Linked DNA regions of Oryctolagus cuniculus. The protein of the gene in region 2 binds, or shares a complex with, the protein of the main gene of each other region. Links are inferred from orthologs where the notes say so. Each region holds a gene or a part of one and is shown on either strand. Other genes may lie near its edges.

Evidence for each region.
Region 1: the proteins of BMP2 (region 2) and BMPR1A are in contact, whole or in part, in a crystal structure (PDB 2QJ9), measured with the Homo sapiens proteins. The link is inferred for Oryctolagus cuniculus from reciprocal best matches to the Homo sapiens genes BMP2 and BMPR1A. Residues at the interface, in NP_001191.1 of Homo sapiens: Lys297, Pro330, Phe331, Pro332, Leu333, Ala334, Asp335, His336, Ser339, Asn341, Ile344, Val345, Leu348, Asn350, Ser351, Val352, Asn353, Ser354; in NP_001393490.1 of Homo sapiens: His66, Cys67, Pro68, Asp69, Ile77, Thr78, Asn79, Phe83, Ile85, Cys100, Met101, Lys102, Glu104, Gly105, Phe108, Gln109, Asp112, Arg120, Ile122.
Region 3: the proteins of BMP2 (region 2) and NOG are in contact, whole or in part, in a crystal structure (PDB 7AG0), measured with the Homo sapiens proteins. The link is inferred for Oryctolagus cuniculus from reciprocal best matches to the Homo sapiens genes BMP2 and NOG. Residues at the interface, in NP_001191.1 of Homo sapiens: Trp310, Asp312, Trp313, Val315, Ala316, Pro317, Pro318, Gly319, Tyr320, Ala368, Ile369, Ser370, Met371, Leu372, Tyr373, Lys379, Val380, Val381, Leu382, Lys383, Asn384, Tyr385, Gln386, Met388; in NP_005441.1 of Homo sapiens: Ile33, Arg34, Pro35, Ala36, Pro37, Ser38, Asp39, Asn40, Pro42, Leu43, Val44, Asp45, Leu46, Ile47, His49, His199, Arg204, Arg206, Pro219, Ile220, Gln221, Tyr222, Pro223.

What each region holds. Positions count from the first base shown.
Region 1 is NC_091446.1:78,229,586-78,234,064, reverse strand, and holds part of BMPR1A (bone morphogenetic protein receptor type-1A), read right to left. Parts: coding exon 4,431-4,479; intron 3,444-4,430; coding exon 3,268-3,443; intron 2,384-3,267; coding exon 2,253-2,383; intron 2,173-2,252; coding exon 2,047-2,172; 3' UTR 1-2,046. UniProt on the Homo sapiens protein: On ligand binding, forms a receptor complex consisting of two type II and two type I transmembrane serine/threonine kinases.
Region 2 is NC_091442.1:31,667,512-31,672,692, reverse strand, and holds the start of BMP2 (bone morphogenetic protein 2 precursor), read right to left. Parts: upstream 3,196-5,181; 5' UTR 3,134-3,195; intron 1,957-3,133; 5' UTR 1,950-1,956; coding exon 1,607-1,949; intron 1-1,606. UniProt on the Homo sapiens protein: Growth factor of the TGF-beta superfamily that plays essential roles in many developmental processes, including cardiogenesis, neurogenesis, and osteogenesis. Induces cartilage and bone formation.
Region 3 is NC_091448.1:32,238,320-32,243,112, reverse strand, and holds NOG (noggin), read right to left. Parts: upstream 3,073-4,793; 5' UTR 2,397-3,072; coding exon 1,698-2,396; 3' UTR 1,005-1,697; downstream 1-1,004. UniProt on the Homo sapiens protein: Inhibitor of bone morphogenetic proteins (BMP) signaling which is required for growth and patterning of the neural tube and somite. Essential for cartilage morphogenesis and joint formation.

The DNA.
Region 1 (4,479 bases), on a different chromosome or scaffold from region 2:
GGATTCCAAATCTGGCAGCATTTGCTTTTTAAAGAAGATCGTATCCTAGGAAATGTTTTTGTTGAACAAGTTTTTTCGGGTTAATTCTCAGTATCACTGTCACCAGTCCACACTAATCAAAAACATTATCATTGTGACCTCATACACTGCAATTTTTTGCTTCACATACCATTTTAGCATTTCTAAGAATGAAATTTGCCTTTCGGTATAAATTTCCTATACTAAGATGACCAAAATTTTTAGTTTATCAAGTCATACACAAACCAAGGTTAACCAAGGTTAACCAGGGCTCAAAAACGTCACGTGGCAATCTCGATGAAAATATATTTCTGGATATATAGATGGGGAAACATTCTGAAAAGGCAAAAAGGCAAGTTATTTGGTACTGCCAATATGCAAATTTACTTATCTTAATAAACACTTCCGATTTTGATTATGTGAGATGCAACTTACTAAACAATCCAGACGGATAAGGCAAGCTTCAAATTTGTGTAGACACCCACATGTGCGTTTTAGCTTCCAACGACACGGAAGGACACGTGCTGTGATTTGCCCGCGTTTACTTTAAGCCTTTCTGACCGTGTGTGATATCCCCGCGTGGATGCTATGTCGATCTCACGGGATGCACCCATGAGCTGTGTGTTCTGAGCAGGAGGTGGCTATCTGGAGGTGTTACGCGGTAGCAAGCTGCAGGACCTGCACCGTTCCTGGAGGCGGGAAAGCATCTAGGAAACTGGCACCACTTTACTGAGTGACAGGCGCACTGCGTGCTCACGGGTGCTGACCAGGTGCTGAGCCTCTCCCGACTCTCCAGTGTCTGCACACGGCAGGGCGCAGAAACCGCAAACCATCTGGTTGTCTACAACACGCTTAATTAACAGCTGCGCATGGATTTCCATCAGCTCTGAGACAACATTTCTAATCAAGAGACTCCTCTCATAAAGGAACATTGCAATCTTAGTGGACACATTTTTGCCCAGGGCTGACAGGGCCCGGCATGGGGAGCCCTGCCGTGGCCGCGATCATTCTGAACACTCCCCCATAGTCCCGCTCTCCCCAGTGTCTCCCCTGGGGGGTGGGCTGAGGGCCCCGTGAGCTGGCTGCTAATACACGGACACATGTGACCCCCGCAGGCTGTCAGGGAGCAGGGGTTTTGCAAGTAAAGCACATTATACACAAAATATAAATAACTTCCCTTTTAAAAGTCACTGAGAACGAGGAACACAGAAGGCAGTCAGCGGCACTGGCACTGCGGGCCAACGCACAGCAGGTGCTTTCCAGGTGACGCAGCTTATGGCACTGGAGGCTCCAGCTCTGGGGAGGGTGCTCTTCCCAACAAAATACCCCCCCCAAAAAAAAGGGTGGTGGCAGGAAAACAGTCCAGATTCATGGGCACTTTAGACTTCTTTTGGCCTTGACACTGACTTTGACATTAAGAAGAAACACGGGTAGGGGAGCTCTCCAGCCCGCAAGGCTTTTAAAGAAGGGGACTCTCGGTCAGAAATTGCATTTTTAAAGCACAAACCAGCAGCCACCAGCACCTTCCTGTGCACTCGTCCGTCATTGTCTTCCAGCTCCCAGGGCAGCCGAGGGCGGCTGGCGGGTGACGGAGGCAGGCCAGGCGCCCCCTCGGGGCCACTCTGCAAAGGCAAGCGGAGCGCACAGATGGAACGTCCTCGGGTAGAAGGCAAGCGTGTGCTTCTCCACCTCTGCTGAACTCTATCTTCCGGAGGCTTTCACAGAAAGCACCACCTGCTGACCAGGCAGCTCAGCACCCAGAGTCTGACTGGAGCCCTACTCATCAGGACTGAAGTCTATGCAGTTCATAGAAACCCAATAAAAAAAGGCATCAAATACCACATTTAAAACACAGCTGTTCGTATAGAAACCAAGTGTCTACGAGTTCCCGGCTTCTAGGATACGGGAGGGTCTGACGCTAGCAGCCTGGGAAGGTGCAGTGAGGGCGGGCGTGAGCCAGGTTCGAGTCCTCCTCCCATGCTGGCCCCGGCGAGCCCAGGGGCAGGGGCGGCGCCTGCAGCGCGTAGCTCAGATCTTTACATCCTGCGACTCCACCATCTTGGCCAGCGTCTTCTTGATCCGCAGCGCCGTGAGTCTGGAGGCTGGATTGTGGGCCCAGCACTCTGACATCAGCTTCAGCACGGCCCGCAGGCACTGGAAGCAAAGAAGAAATGGTGAGCAGAGAGGGCGGTGGGCGCCAAAGCCCGCCCCCTCTGCGGGGAGCCGGCACTCACCTCGTCGCTGTTCCAGCGGTTGGACACAATCGGCCGCAGCCGCTTGACGCACACGACCTCGCGCATGTCCTCGTAGGATGGGTCGCTGGGCACCATGTTGTAGTACGGCAGCTGGTACTCTTCCACGATCCCTGCAGGCAGAGGGACACCGTGGCCACACTGCGCAGCCAACCTGCAGAGCTACAGGGCCACACAGCTCCTACCCAAGGAAGACAGCTAGGGCCTGGGGGTCCACTTCGAACGGTGAGTGCACGGGCTTCTCTTATTCATGCCCATTATTTCCTCCCCTCCAGCCAGCACCCCAGAACTGTGACAGCCCATCAGGAAACGCCAGTATTCCGTGGGTGGGGGGCAAGGCGAACCCTTGCACTTACTCTACACCATACACAGGACCACCGACTAGCAGGCTGTTCCTACCAATGAAATGCGTGTCTAGCCCTCTGGCTGACTTTGTCCCACAGTGGAGAGACATGAGCTGCAGACCAGAGTTCAGACAACAGCAGGCCTGACGCCGGGCTTCTCACTGAAGCCTGCTTGCAAGGCCGCCCTGGGCTGGTGCCTAGGAGCCTGCAGGCAAGACGACGCCCTGCGTGCACACAGAACTCTCCCTGTGGTAAAGGCACGGCTGCTCCTGGACGGTACGCACTCGACACCTGCTTTCCCTCTGGGAGCCGGGGGTTTGGGAGTGGCCAGGAGGAGGATGCCCACACCACCAGCTTTGCTGTGAGTGCCCTGTGTGACAGTGCATGACAGACGTCATCACGGTCCACAGTGGGAGGGGCTCGGCATCCTGACTCTGCCCCCGGCCCTTTCCTTGTCCGAGTTAGACTTGTGGCTCTCACCGTACATCTCAGCCGTGAGAATGACTACGTGCCGAGTCCTAGAGCCATCACGGCATCTGGGGGGCGCTCCTGGGGACTCTGACAGACGTGACATCTAAATTACCCCACAGCAGCTGCTGTTTCTTCAACGATGGGCAAACCAGTAGGACCAGGCAGGCCGCCCCACCGCCTACCTCCCGTGACGCAGCGGCGGGCCATCTCCCAGATGATGAGGCCGAAGCTGTAGATGTCCGCCATGATGTAGGGCTGGAAGTGGTTTTTGTTCAGGCTCTCGTCCAGCACCTCGGGAGCCATGTAGCGCTTGGTGCCCACCCTGGTGTTCAGGGGCACATCCACTTCATTCGTGTCACTGAAACAAGATGGTATCCAGGGTGAGTGCCACCAACGAAGAGCCTAGCTTGTGTTTTCACGACATTTTACACCAGTGTCTCCCCCTTTCTCTCTCTCATATCCTAAAAGCTTTGTAACTCTGATGTTTAAACAGCTGGCACCATCCAGCAGTCGTGGAGAAAGGGCGTCTTTCTCTGCTCTGTTCACAGGAGGGGTAGCTGACGCCTGCTTTGTGAGGGGACAACAGGCCACAGGTCGGAATTTCACATACTCCTTCTCCAGGAATCCATTGGGAACAAATACTTGTACAAGTGCTCAAGGCCATATTGTATTCTATGGATAAAACATAGTAATGTTCGCTAAAACTTTTTTAATAACAGGGATAAACTGAAGGTAACAGTAACATCCAACAGTTGGGTCACGGAAAACTACATCTGTTAAGTAGCAGCAGGGGGTCAGTGCTGTGGCACAGCAGGTTAAAGACCTGGCCTGTAGCACCAGCATCCCATATGGGTGCCAGCTGCTCCACTTCTGATCCAGCTCTCTGCTATGGCCTGGGAGAACAGTGGAAGATGGCCCAAGTCCTTGGGCCCCTGCACCCATGTGGGAGACCCAGAGGAAGCTCCTAGCTCCTGGCTTCAAACAGGCTCAGTTCCAGCCACTGCAGCCATTTGGGGGGTGAACCAGCTGATGGAAGATCTCTCTCTCTCTCTCTAATAAATAAAATAAATCTTAAAATTAAAAAAAAAGAATGAGGCAGATCTACACAAACACCCTTCTGAAAAGGAAGGACATGTAAGACAAAAAGCAGGAAATCAAGAATTATGTAAAGTAGTATGTAATTACTAACAAGAAAACCCCATAAAACTCCAACTATATGCATATATGACCTAACGAAGGGTCCCTACGTGTTTTCAGAGTTGCAATGTCCTCAGGACAAACAGGTACAGAAACACCCTTTGGAGGTGACAACACTTTCAACATGGTTGGGCAAAGACCCCCGCACCTGTTGAATTTAACAGCAAGGCCCAGGTCAGCAATACAACAGCTCCCGT
Region 2 (5,181 bases):
GTTAAGGCCAAAAATAACTTACTATATTCTGGGTAGCCTGCTTAGGTCTTGATCAAGCCATTTCTAGAAAAAGACACAGGCACACTTCATTGCTGAAACAGTTACACATGTCAAAGTCTCAGGTGCTTTTGATTTTTAAATAATCTTCCTCTCAAAGTTATGAGAAAGACACCATACCTTCCTAGCCTTAAAAATGAACGTTAAGAGGAGACCTATCCAGCTAACTCCTATTCCCTTTTTATCCAGAAATACTATTCTAATCTGTGTCAACTGGAAGCGATGAACCTGTAGTCATCTCATGGTTACCATGACAGAAGACACAGGAAGGAAAACCTTTCTCCTGTAACAACAAACTTCTGCTGTCAGTGGCTGAATTCTCAACAGATAGAAAAAGATGTTGATCCTCAGATCTTCAGAAAACACTTTACTTCAAAATGTGCTGGAACACGTGCTACCAGCTCCCAGCTCCCTTCACTGTGACAGCTGGGATGAGAAGTAGCTTGTGTGATGGGACCTGCCTTTGGGACTTCTTCTCATTATCACCCATCGTTCTTGAAAACGTCCCACTGAGAGAAAATTGTTTTCGTCAAGGAAAAGGGAACATCAGTCAGTGCAAGTGGCTGTTCTGTGATCTGTAACTCCACTCTTTTCTAGAATTCGCAGGAATGCATTCTGTATTTAGAGCTATTAAGCCAAAGGCACATTTAAAAGAACAAAAGAATGGAAATGTAGCATGTAGTTGACTAACGGTGCTAAGAAGTTAGGTGCAACAGAGCTCCATAGCTGCCCTAAGACATTTCAAATCCACTAAATGCCTTCCTGATGAAACCAGCAGAAATATCCTACCTTAGGAAAACCACATCCAGGATCATAAAAGAAAAAAAAAATCACATTTCAATGCATGTGAAGGAAGACAGGCAGCTGCTGCAAAAGGTTTTATCTGAAGGCTTGCTTTGTCTCTACTCTGAGCCTATCTCAGATTTAAGCACGAGACAAGAAAGTCATTGTGGAAACAATAAGATTGATTGTGGAATTGATCTCCCACGGGGATTAGATAGGGATTCGAAATCTTCCAACGCAGGCCCAGATCCACTGTAAATTAGGAAGACTTGGGGGCCCTGGGCTTTGATTTTTCAAGACTATCTGAGAATTCCGCCCTTGCCTCAGTCTAGCTTGAAACCCTGGCTTAAGCTGGAGACACAGATTTATGGAGCAAGGGCTTCCAAACAGACTTCAAGAAATCCCAAACCTCCTCCTTCTCCCACTGCGGAATTCCTGCACGCTTAGCTGACCAGGGGCATGCCTTTTAGCCTCGTCTTCCCCATCCCTTGATTCCGCTCTGGTTCCTGGAGGAGGAGTCGCCCTCCTGGCTGCGTGCCAGGAAACGGGTACGGACCGACCAAGGGGGAATCCCTGGCTGGCCCGCCACACGAGCAGTGCCTGAAAATCAGATTCAGAAAGGTCGGTACGGAAGCAAGAGGGACAGCATCCGCAGAGCTCTGGCTGAACTGCCTCTCCAGGGATGCCCGCAGCCGGCCTTGGTGCTCGGCGTTGCGGGTAGCAACCCGCCCGCGTCTCTGCCCCTGCGGCGCGCGCCTCGCCTTACCTTCGTGGTGGAAGCTGCGCACCGTGTTGGCGCGGCTGGCTGCCCTCTCCAGCCGGTGGTCCGGGGCGGGCGCGCCAGGCTGGCCGGAGTGCCGGCGGTACAAGTCCAGCATGTAGGGGGGCACCACGGCGTCCCTGCTAGGGGTGGGTCTCTGCTTCAGACCGAACATGCTGAGCAACCGCAACTCGAACTCGCTCAGGATGTCGTCCGAGGGCTGGGGCGAGGGGCGGCCCGATGACGCCGCGAACTTCCTGCGGCCCAGCTCGGGGATGAGGCCGGCCGCGCCGCCCAGGAGGACCTGGGGAAGCAGCAACGCTAGAAGACAGCGGGTCCCGGCCACCATGGTCGACCTGCGGACAGGGCCGACGTGAGTCACCCGAGTTCCCCGCCCAGTCCTCTCCCTTCCCGCCCCCGCGGCCTGGGCTCCCGCTGCGCTCGCTCGCCTCCTCCTCCAGGGCGCCCTCCTGCCTTGCAGCACTTGCTGGCTATGTCAGAGCGGCCACAGCTCTAACGTTTGGGGTGGGGTGGGGGAATGGAGGGCCCCAAGTTCCTGACCCAGAGCACTTTTCTCTCTCCCACCCCAGCCTGGGCCCGTCTGATACTTGATTTGGGGGTTGGCCTTATCCCTCGCTCCCTCCCCACTGAACTTAAGTGGTTGTCACTCCCCCCTCCCATACACACACACACACACACACACACACACACACACACACACACACACCAGAGCTGGCAGCCATGCAGGGAGTCTGGGGGATCACCGCTTGATCTGACACCCTGCCGCGCCTAGCCAAACTCAGAGCGCTCCCTTGCCTATAAACGCGCGCGCATGTGACTTCCTGAGAACCGGGGCACGGAACTTCCTGAGCCACAGTTCACCACTTCCAGACCCTGCAAACTCAGGGCCACGACTTCTGAAGCCGCTTGGCGGTGGCTGCCCGCTGGGTGTCGGGACGCCCCGCTCCACGCCCGCCCGCGAGCCCCCGGTGCGGTCGCGTACGCAGGTACCTTCCCGGCGTTACATAAAGGGCCGATCTCCACGCGCGCACGTGCCAGCGGGGAAACCCACGGCGCGAGCGGGACCCTGGCCCTCTAGCGCTTCTAGCAACCGGCGGAGAGAACCCCTAACGCCCAGCGCTTTCCTACGGGGGACGGGGCTCTGATGGAGAGCGCGGGTCTCCCCCAGAATCTTGATGAAGACAGCGCCGTGCCACGGCGTACAGGTTGGCAGCTAACGGGTGAAACCCAGGGGCCATCCTCTCCAAGGCAGCTCTTTGACTTTTTAATTTTTTAAAAAAATCATCTAAGTGTTAACAGCCTTAATAATATATCGAGGAAGAGCGGAGGAGGGGCGGAAGCGTGCGGGCGCGGGGAAAGGGGGCGCCCCCGCCGGGCTGGGCTGCACGTGGCCCCGGAGAGGGGTCTGTTTACGTCCTGCCCGGCCGCGCCCCGGAGGGGGGTCCGCCGCCGCCGCCGCCGCCGCGCGAGCCCAGCGCCCGCCCCGCACCCCGGGGCCCGCGCGTCCCGTACCTTTAGGAGACCGCAGTCCGTCTAAGAAGCCCGCGGGGACACGTCCATTGAAAGAGCCTCCACATGGAAAAAGCTCTGGCCCAGGGACCTGGCGCGGGGACCGGGCGTCCGCTCCCTTCCCGTGGCCTCCGGCTTCTCCTCCCGGCGCCGGCCGCCGAGTCCCTCTCCTCGCGCAGGGCGCGGCGTCCCGGGCTCGGCCCGGCAGAGGGCTGCAGCGCGGCGGGGCTCGGAGGCAGCGAGGCGGCTCCGCCGGGGCGCGGGCACCGGCGCGAAGCGGGGAGCAGCGCAAGTTAAGGCTGCAAGTTCAAGAAGTCTCCAGCCAAGTGCTGACACACAACAACAGCGAGCAGGGGGAGGAGTGCGGGCCGGGGAAGGGAAGGGAAGGCAGAGAGGAAAGGCTGCTGCTGTCGTCGTCCTCAGGCACCAGCGCCCGCGGGACGCGTGGCCGCGCGCGGGGCCGCCTGCGGGACTCCGGGGGGCGAGGGTCGGGCGCTCAGCGCTAGCTCCGCCGCGGCCCATGGCTCGGGGCAGCCATCCTGGGCGACGCCGGGTCCGGGGAAGGGCACAGCGGCGATCTCGATGCCCGGCGAGCTGCCCCCCCGCATCACTCTGCCTGCCGCCAGCGCACCCCCATCAGCGCTGGCCAGTGGAAACAGCCGCGGCTCCGGCGCCCCGTCGTCCTCGGGCGCATTCTCCGCGAGCCCAGCCGAGTCCCGGGCCGCCGAAGCGGGTGGCCGCGCTCTGCCCTCGCTGCTGTCCTAGCCCTCGGGCCAAGTGCCCTTTGTGGCCGGCTTGGGGTCCGATCACACCTCGGCTGGCACGTCTCGAGCCCCCGATCCCCGGCAGGAGGTGCTCGGCATCGCGGCGCTCGGGCTTGGCTCCGCACTCTCCGGCGCTCCGCGCGCCCGTCCGCGGCTCCGGCGCGGCCCGGGCAGCCGAGGCCACCGAGCTGTGGCGCGCAACGGCCGGGTGCTCCAACCCGCGAGGGGTCTGCGGTGCGCGGGTGCCTCGCAGCGCCCAGTAATCCGCGCGGCGCTCGCCTCGAGGGCGCTCGGGTCGCCGGCGGCGGCTGATGTCCGGCGGCGGCTGCCAATCCCCGGCGGGGTGTGGGAACCGGAGCGGCGGGCGCAGCGCGAGCCGGGCGCAGCGCGGCGGGGCGAGGACTCCGGCGGCGACGGCGGCGGCGGCGGCGCCGTGGCGCGGCGCTCGCGGCTTTTAAAGGGGACGCCGCCTGCTGGCTCCCTCCCGGCCCCGGCCGAACACCTCCCCCTCGGCGGCACTGCTCGCCGGGGATCCCCGAGCGGGCGGGAGCGGCGCTCAGGGGTGTGGACGGCGCGCCGGGGGCAGCCGCAGCGGGGTGGGGCCAAGGGCGGGGGCGCGCGGCCGCCGAGGGGGGCGCTGGCGCTTCCACCCCCCTGCCCTAGGGCCGGAGATGTCACCCTTGTACCCGACCCTCGCGTGTTCTCCGGGGCTGAGATGCGGGGCGACGGCAGGTTCTGGCCTCGGTGTCTCCACCGGGCCCGTTATTCAGGTTTCAGTTTGAAGTTTTTCAGAAAAGAGCTCAGGGAAGTTACAGAGCATCTTGGTGCAGACGTGGTGTGGTAGACGCTTCTGTATTTCCCCGGCGAGGGGAAGCTGGAAACTGGCCGATATTTAACACAGAGACATCTATGTAGCTGCAGATGGAAATCCATGTGTGCGCATTTACAGTTACATAAATTTGGGTATGCATTTGCACTCAAACGCGTGTGCGCGCATGTGTGTTCATGAAAACATACCTAATACACGCGTGTGCTTCCAACCAAGTCACACGTCCCTTTAAACCCGGGTCTGCGGGTGTGACTTGGCCGTCTCTTCCTATACACGACACGTGTGTGTGTGTGTGTGTGTGTGTGTGTGTGGCAGCGCGAGGGGAGGGTGGCTAGGATTTTATTTCGTTTTATGGAAGCCGTCACTTCTTCCCCTGGGAAGTGAATCTCGCTCAGCCCAGGGGCAGGTAAAACAACGCAGGGCGAGATCCAAGCGTATGAGGCAATTCTGGTTTGGGA
Region 3 (4,793 bases), on a different chromosome or scaffold from region 2:
GGACGCCCGCGGGAACCCCGGCGCGGGTCCCCCAGAAGCTGGCGGGCTCGAGGGTGGGGCGGGGGTGACGTTTCGCACGTTCCCTCGAGGGGGGCAACGCGCCCTCGACCCGGTTCTAATCCTAGAGCTCTGAGATCCACATTCTGAGCTCTCCCGCCCCGCCCCCCAGTGCAGTGGGCGTCCGGAGCTGGGGAGGGGGGGCGGGGAGGCGTACCCCTTCCTACTAGCAGATCCCACAAGTGGCGAGTCTTACCCAAATCTGAAAACCCTGGACCTCAGGTTCCTGCTTAGGTCCCAGGGGGAGGAGGACGTTGAGTGTCAAATCTCCCCGGTTATTCCTCCCCGCCCCCATAACTCCGGCCCGAGGGCCCCGGAATTCCGGGGGGCTCAGACCTGCAGAATCCCGGAGGCTGTGGATGTTGTGGATTTCAGAAATCCTCTGAGCTCCAACCACTGTAGCTTCCGGGTGTGCAAAGAGTTAACATGGGCTGGATATTGAGGTGTGTGTATGGGGGGGGGCGGCGGGAGGGGTGGCGGGATCTGGGTGGGCGCGCTCTGATCTCCCTCCTCCCCCCCATTCCTCGGGGGTCAAGTTTCAGCGGCACTCCGCCCCCAGGGTAGGTGTGAAAGACACGTGTCCCCATTGTGAAGGGCCTGTCAGGCAGGACAAAGCGGCCGCCCACCCTCCCCCCGCCCCGCGGCCCAGCCTGGGGTCAGCTCCAGGGGGCCGGCTGGGTGTCGAGGTCGCTACGGCCCTGAGCTTTGGTGACATAGGGGAAAAAAGCTGGGAGACAGGGCGGAGGCCACGTGATATTTAAGAGGGGTTTGAGAATAAGGCGCCCCCCCCCATTGAAACACTCAGCCGTCACCTCCGTCGTAACCAGGGGAGGGGATGCACCCCTTCTCCCAACCGGCGCGGTGGGCACCGCGGCAGCTCCCTCCCGCCCCCGCCCGCCCGCACCCCCATCAATCACCAACACAGAGAATCGCAGTGCGGAGCGCAGTCGGTTTTAGTGGTTTTCTTTAATCCTGCTCTGCACTTCTTTCTCATTTACTACACGGGATATTATAAAGAATAAATAGCAGATACTCTTAATTTACAATGATTAGTCATTCCATTTGTTCTCTATATTTACAATAACTGTAAAATAACATTGAACTCTATAGCTTCTCCGAGGTCCAAGGAAAACCAACACACTTTCCGAAGAATGGAAAATAGCTTTTAAAAAGTCCTTCTACAAAAGTTCTCCCCTCTCTTTGTACTTTAAGAAAAAAAAATAACTTTTCCCCCCTGCTTCGCCATGCGAAGGGCACTGGAATATAAATAGCAGGTTAACATTGTCAGCAACAACCAGAATAAGTCTCTTTTCTCTGTTCTTTTTTTTTCCTTTTGCTTAACTTTTTTTTAAAAATACAGTAGAAGCCGGTAACTTTTAACGTATAATACTGACCTTTTAATAAGTAAATTAAAACTGGGACCGTATATACACACATATACATTCCTACACAGTTAAACAGTGCATTACATGAACCAGAAAGCTAGGTCTCTGTAGCCAAAAAAAAAAAAAAAAAAAAAAAAAAAGTTCATTGAAAAACCCCTCACTAGAGGGTGGTGGAACTGGTTGGGGGCGGCGTAGGGGGGCGTCGGCGGGGCTCTCGACCAAGTGTCCCGGTGCGGGGCAGGGGGCCCCCGAGTTCTAGCACGAGCACTTGCACTCGGAGATGATGGGGTACTGGATGGGGATCCAGCCGCAGCGCTGGCCCGCGCGCCGCTGACAGCGCCACCGCAGCACGGTGAGGTGCACCGACTTGGAAGGTTTGCACACCATGCCCTCCGGCACGGAGCACGAGCGCTTGCTGAAGCAGCTGCCCACCTTCACGTAGCGCGGCCAGAAGCGGCTGCCCAGGTCGTTCCAGGCGTACAGCACAGGGCAGAAGGTCTGCGACCACAGCCACATCTGTAACTTCCTCCGCAGCTTCTTGCTGAGCCGCTGCTTCTTGCCCTGGGCCAAGCCCTCGGAGAACTCCAGCCCTTTGATCTCGCTCGGCATGGCCCCCGACGGCCGCTGCCGCAGCAGCTGGTCCAGCTCGGCCAGGTCCTCGGCGCCCCCCGTCGTCCCGCCGCCCGCGCCGGGCCGGTCCTCGGGGGGCGAGGTGGCCATGAAGCCCGGGTCGTAGTGGCCCCCGAGCAGCGAGCGTAGCAGCGTCTCGTTCAGATCCTTCTCCTTGGGGTCAAAGATAGGGTCCGGGTGCTCGATGAGGTCCACCAGGGGCAGGTTGTCGCTGGGAGCCGGGCGGATGTGGAGGTAGTGCTGGCCGCCGGCCGGTGCCGCCCGCAGCCCCAGGACCACCACCAGGGCGTAGAGGGTGACCCCCAGGCTGGGGCAGCGCTCCATGCCTCCGGCGCGCGCCCGGGGCCGCTGCTTCGTCCCGCGTCCCCGGAGGAGAGCACGCCGAGCCCGCGGCGCCGCCGCCGCGCTCCCCCGTCTCTCCGGAGGCGGCTCACCCGAGGCTGGGCAGGCGCAGGGCGGGCAGCATGAGCCGCGGGGAGAGAGAGCTCTTCGCGCAGCGCCGGCTCCCGCCGGGGCGGAGAACAGGCACGCAAGTTGGCCGCAACTCCTCTCCGCGCTCTACTCGGGACGCCGGCCGCGGCGGGGCATCCGAAAGGACTCCAGGGCGGCCGCGGGGCTCGGGGGGCGCCGGCTCCTGGCTGCCTGGCCGGGCCGGCGGCGGCGCAGGGCGCGTGGACGAGCCGCTCTCCCCTCCTCCTCCTCCTCCTCCTCCTCCTGCCGCTGCTCCTGCTGCTCCTGCTCCTGCTCCTGCTGCTCCTGCTGCTCCTCTCGCTCCTCTCGCTGCTCCTCGCCGGGCCGCTGTGCGCAGCGCCGCGGGCCGAGCGGCTCCTGGGGCACTTCCCTCCGCCTGCTCGTGGCTCCGCGGCCGGCTCTGCCCGGCGGACTCCAGCGGCGGCGGCGGCGGCGGCGTCCGCGCACGTTGGCACCGGTTTGTCTGTCTCGCAGGGTCCAAGCCTTTAAATTTCCTGCACTTTCAGCTCCATCACCATGGAAACCACTGACTCTCTCGGCGTTGCCCCCTCCCCCTCCTTCCCCCCAAACAACAACCCCACCCCCCACCCCTCCACCCCCGAGGAGCCGGAGCGGCACAGGCTCGGGGGGTAGCCGCCTGCACTCGCCGCGGAGGCGGCGGCGGCGGCTTCGGCAGCGCCCAGGGCTGTGCCCCGCCGGACCCAGATGCCCCGGGAAGCCGACAGCCCGGCTGCCCGCCGGAGCTCCCAGGCGGCGGCGGCGGCGGCGGCGGCGGCAGCGGCGGCGGCGGTGGCGGCGGCGGCGGCGGCGGCGGCGGCGGCGGTGGCGCTTGGCAGGTCTCCGCGCAATTTTCTCTCTCCCCCACCACCCACCCCCCTTCTCCTCCTCCTGCAAAATGCACCGCCCCCCTCCTTTCTTCTGGAGCAATGCAACTGGGGCTCTAGGCGCCCCGCCAGGGCCAGTCCCGGGGAAAGCTCGCTGAGGCGCTGGAGCCGGCTTGGAGGGTGCAGGGCCGGTTCTTGGGGGTGCTCGCGGTGGAGCTGGGGCAGGGGGCTTGCTCCTTACTAGCTGGGTGCTTTGCACTGGGAAGGGAGCAGCGGAGAGGTGCCGGCAGCTCGATTCTCCGTGCAGTTCGGAGCAAGAAATTTCTCCATGTGCACGGAGCGTTTTCCCCGGGCGCGTCTCGCCTGCTTCTCTCCAGGGCTCGGGCTGGGTCCCCTCCCCCAATACACGCGCGCACAGGGTCCCCCTCCCCGCCCCCTCCCTCCACACTGCGCCCGAGAGTCCGAGAGCCGCAGCGTTGCGCAGCGTGATGTAATTCCCAGGAAGCACTCCTGCCCGTCTGACCCCCGGGCCCACGATGGGGGTTCGCTCCTCACCCTCCTCTTCCTCCTCCTCCTTGGCCGGGTCCTGCACCCTGAGTGGCCCAGCCGCAGGGGCGCGTCCGGCTCGCCGGCGGCTCCCCTCGCCCGCCCGGCTCCGCGCTGCCGCCGCTCGGCTCCCTGGGGGCGGCGCGCCCTCTGCTGGCCCGCTGCAAGCCCTGCAACTGGCGCTGGTGGGCTCCGGGCTGCAGCCCACTCTGCCTGGCTCAGTTTCCCCTGCTGTGCCCGGGTCATTTTGTGCGCGTCTGCGTGTGCTGAAGGGCCCGGCTCTGCTTCTGGCTGTTTTCTCGAAGCTCTCCGGGACCTCAGTGGAAGCAAAAGACCCAGCGGCTCCCTCCCAATCCCTTCAACTTTCCCAAGAACAAGTGCCGCACCTTCTGCCTCCCGCGACCTCCTCCTTGGTGGACTCTGTGCCTTCGTTTCCGCTGTCGTGCCCTAGCTCTCTTCCTCTTCCAGCCTTACCTTCCTGCGATTCTTAAATAAACCTGCGCGCGATGCCCTCTCTTTCAGGAGCTGTTTCTCTCGAGCGATCACTGGGCACTGGCCCGACCCCTCCAGTTAACTTTCCCGGGATGAGGAATTGAATCTAAGCTTCTCTCCCGAACCCAGTTTGCTTTGTGGCGACTGGAGCGTGGAAAAAGCTGGAGAAAAGGAGCTTGGAGTGGATGATCCGCGCGTTCACCAGAAGTCCCTGGAGCGGGAAGCAGGGGGTCCCACAGTGGCAGCCAGTGTCACTCCACCTCCTCTCCCCCAAAGAGCTGACTCTTCCTTTCAACCTGCCCCTCCCCTCCATCCTCATACCCCCAAAAGGAGCTTATCACCTGCCAAGGGAGGAAAGCACTTAGTTGGCCAGTATAGCAATTGGGCG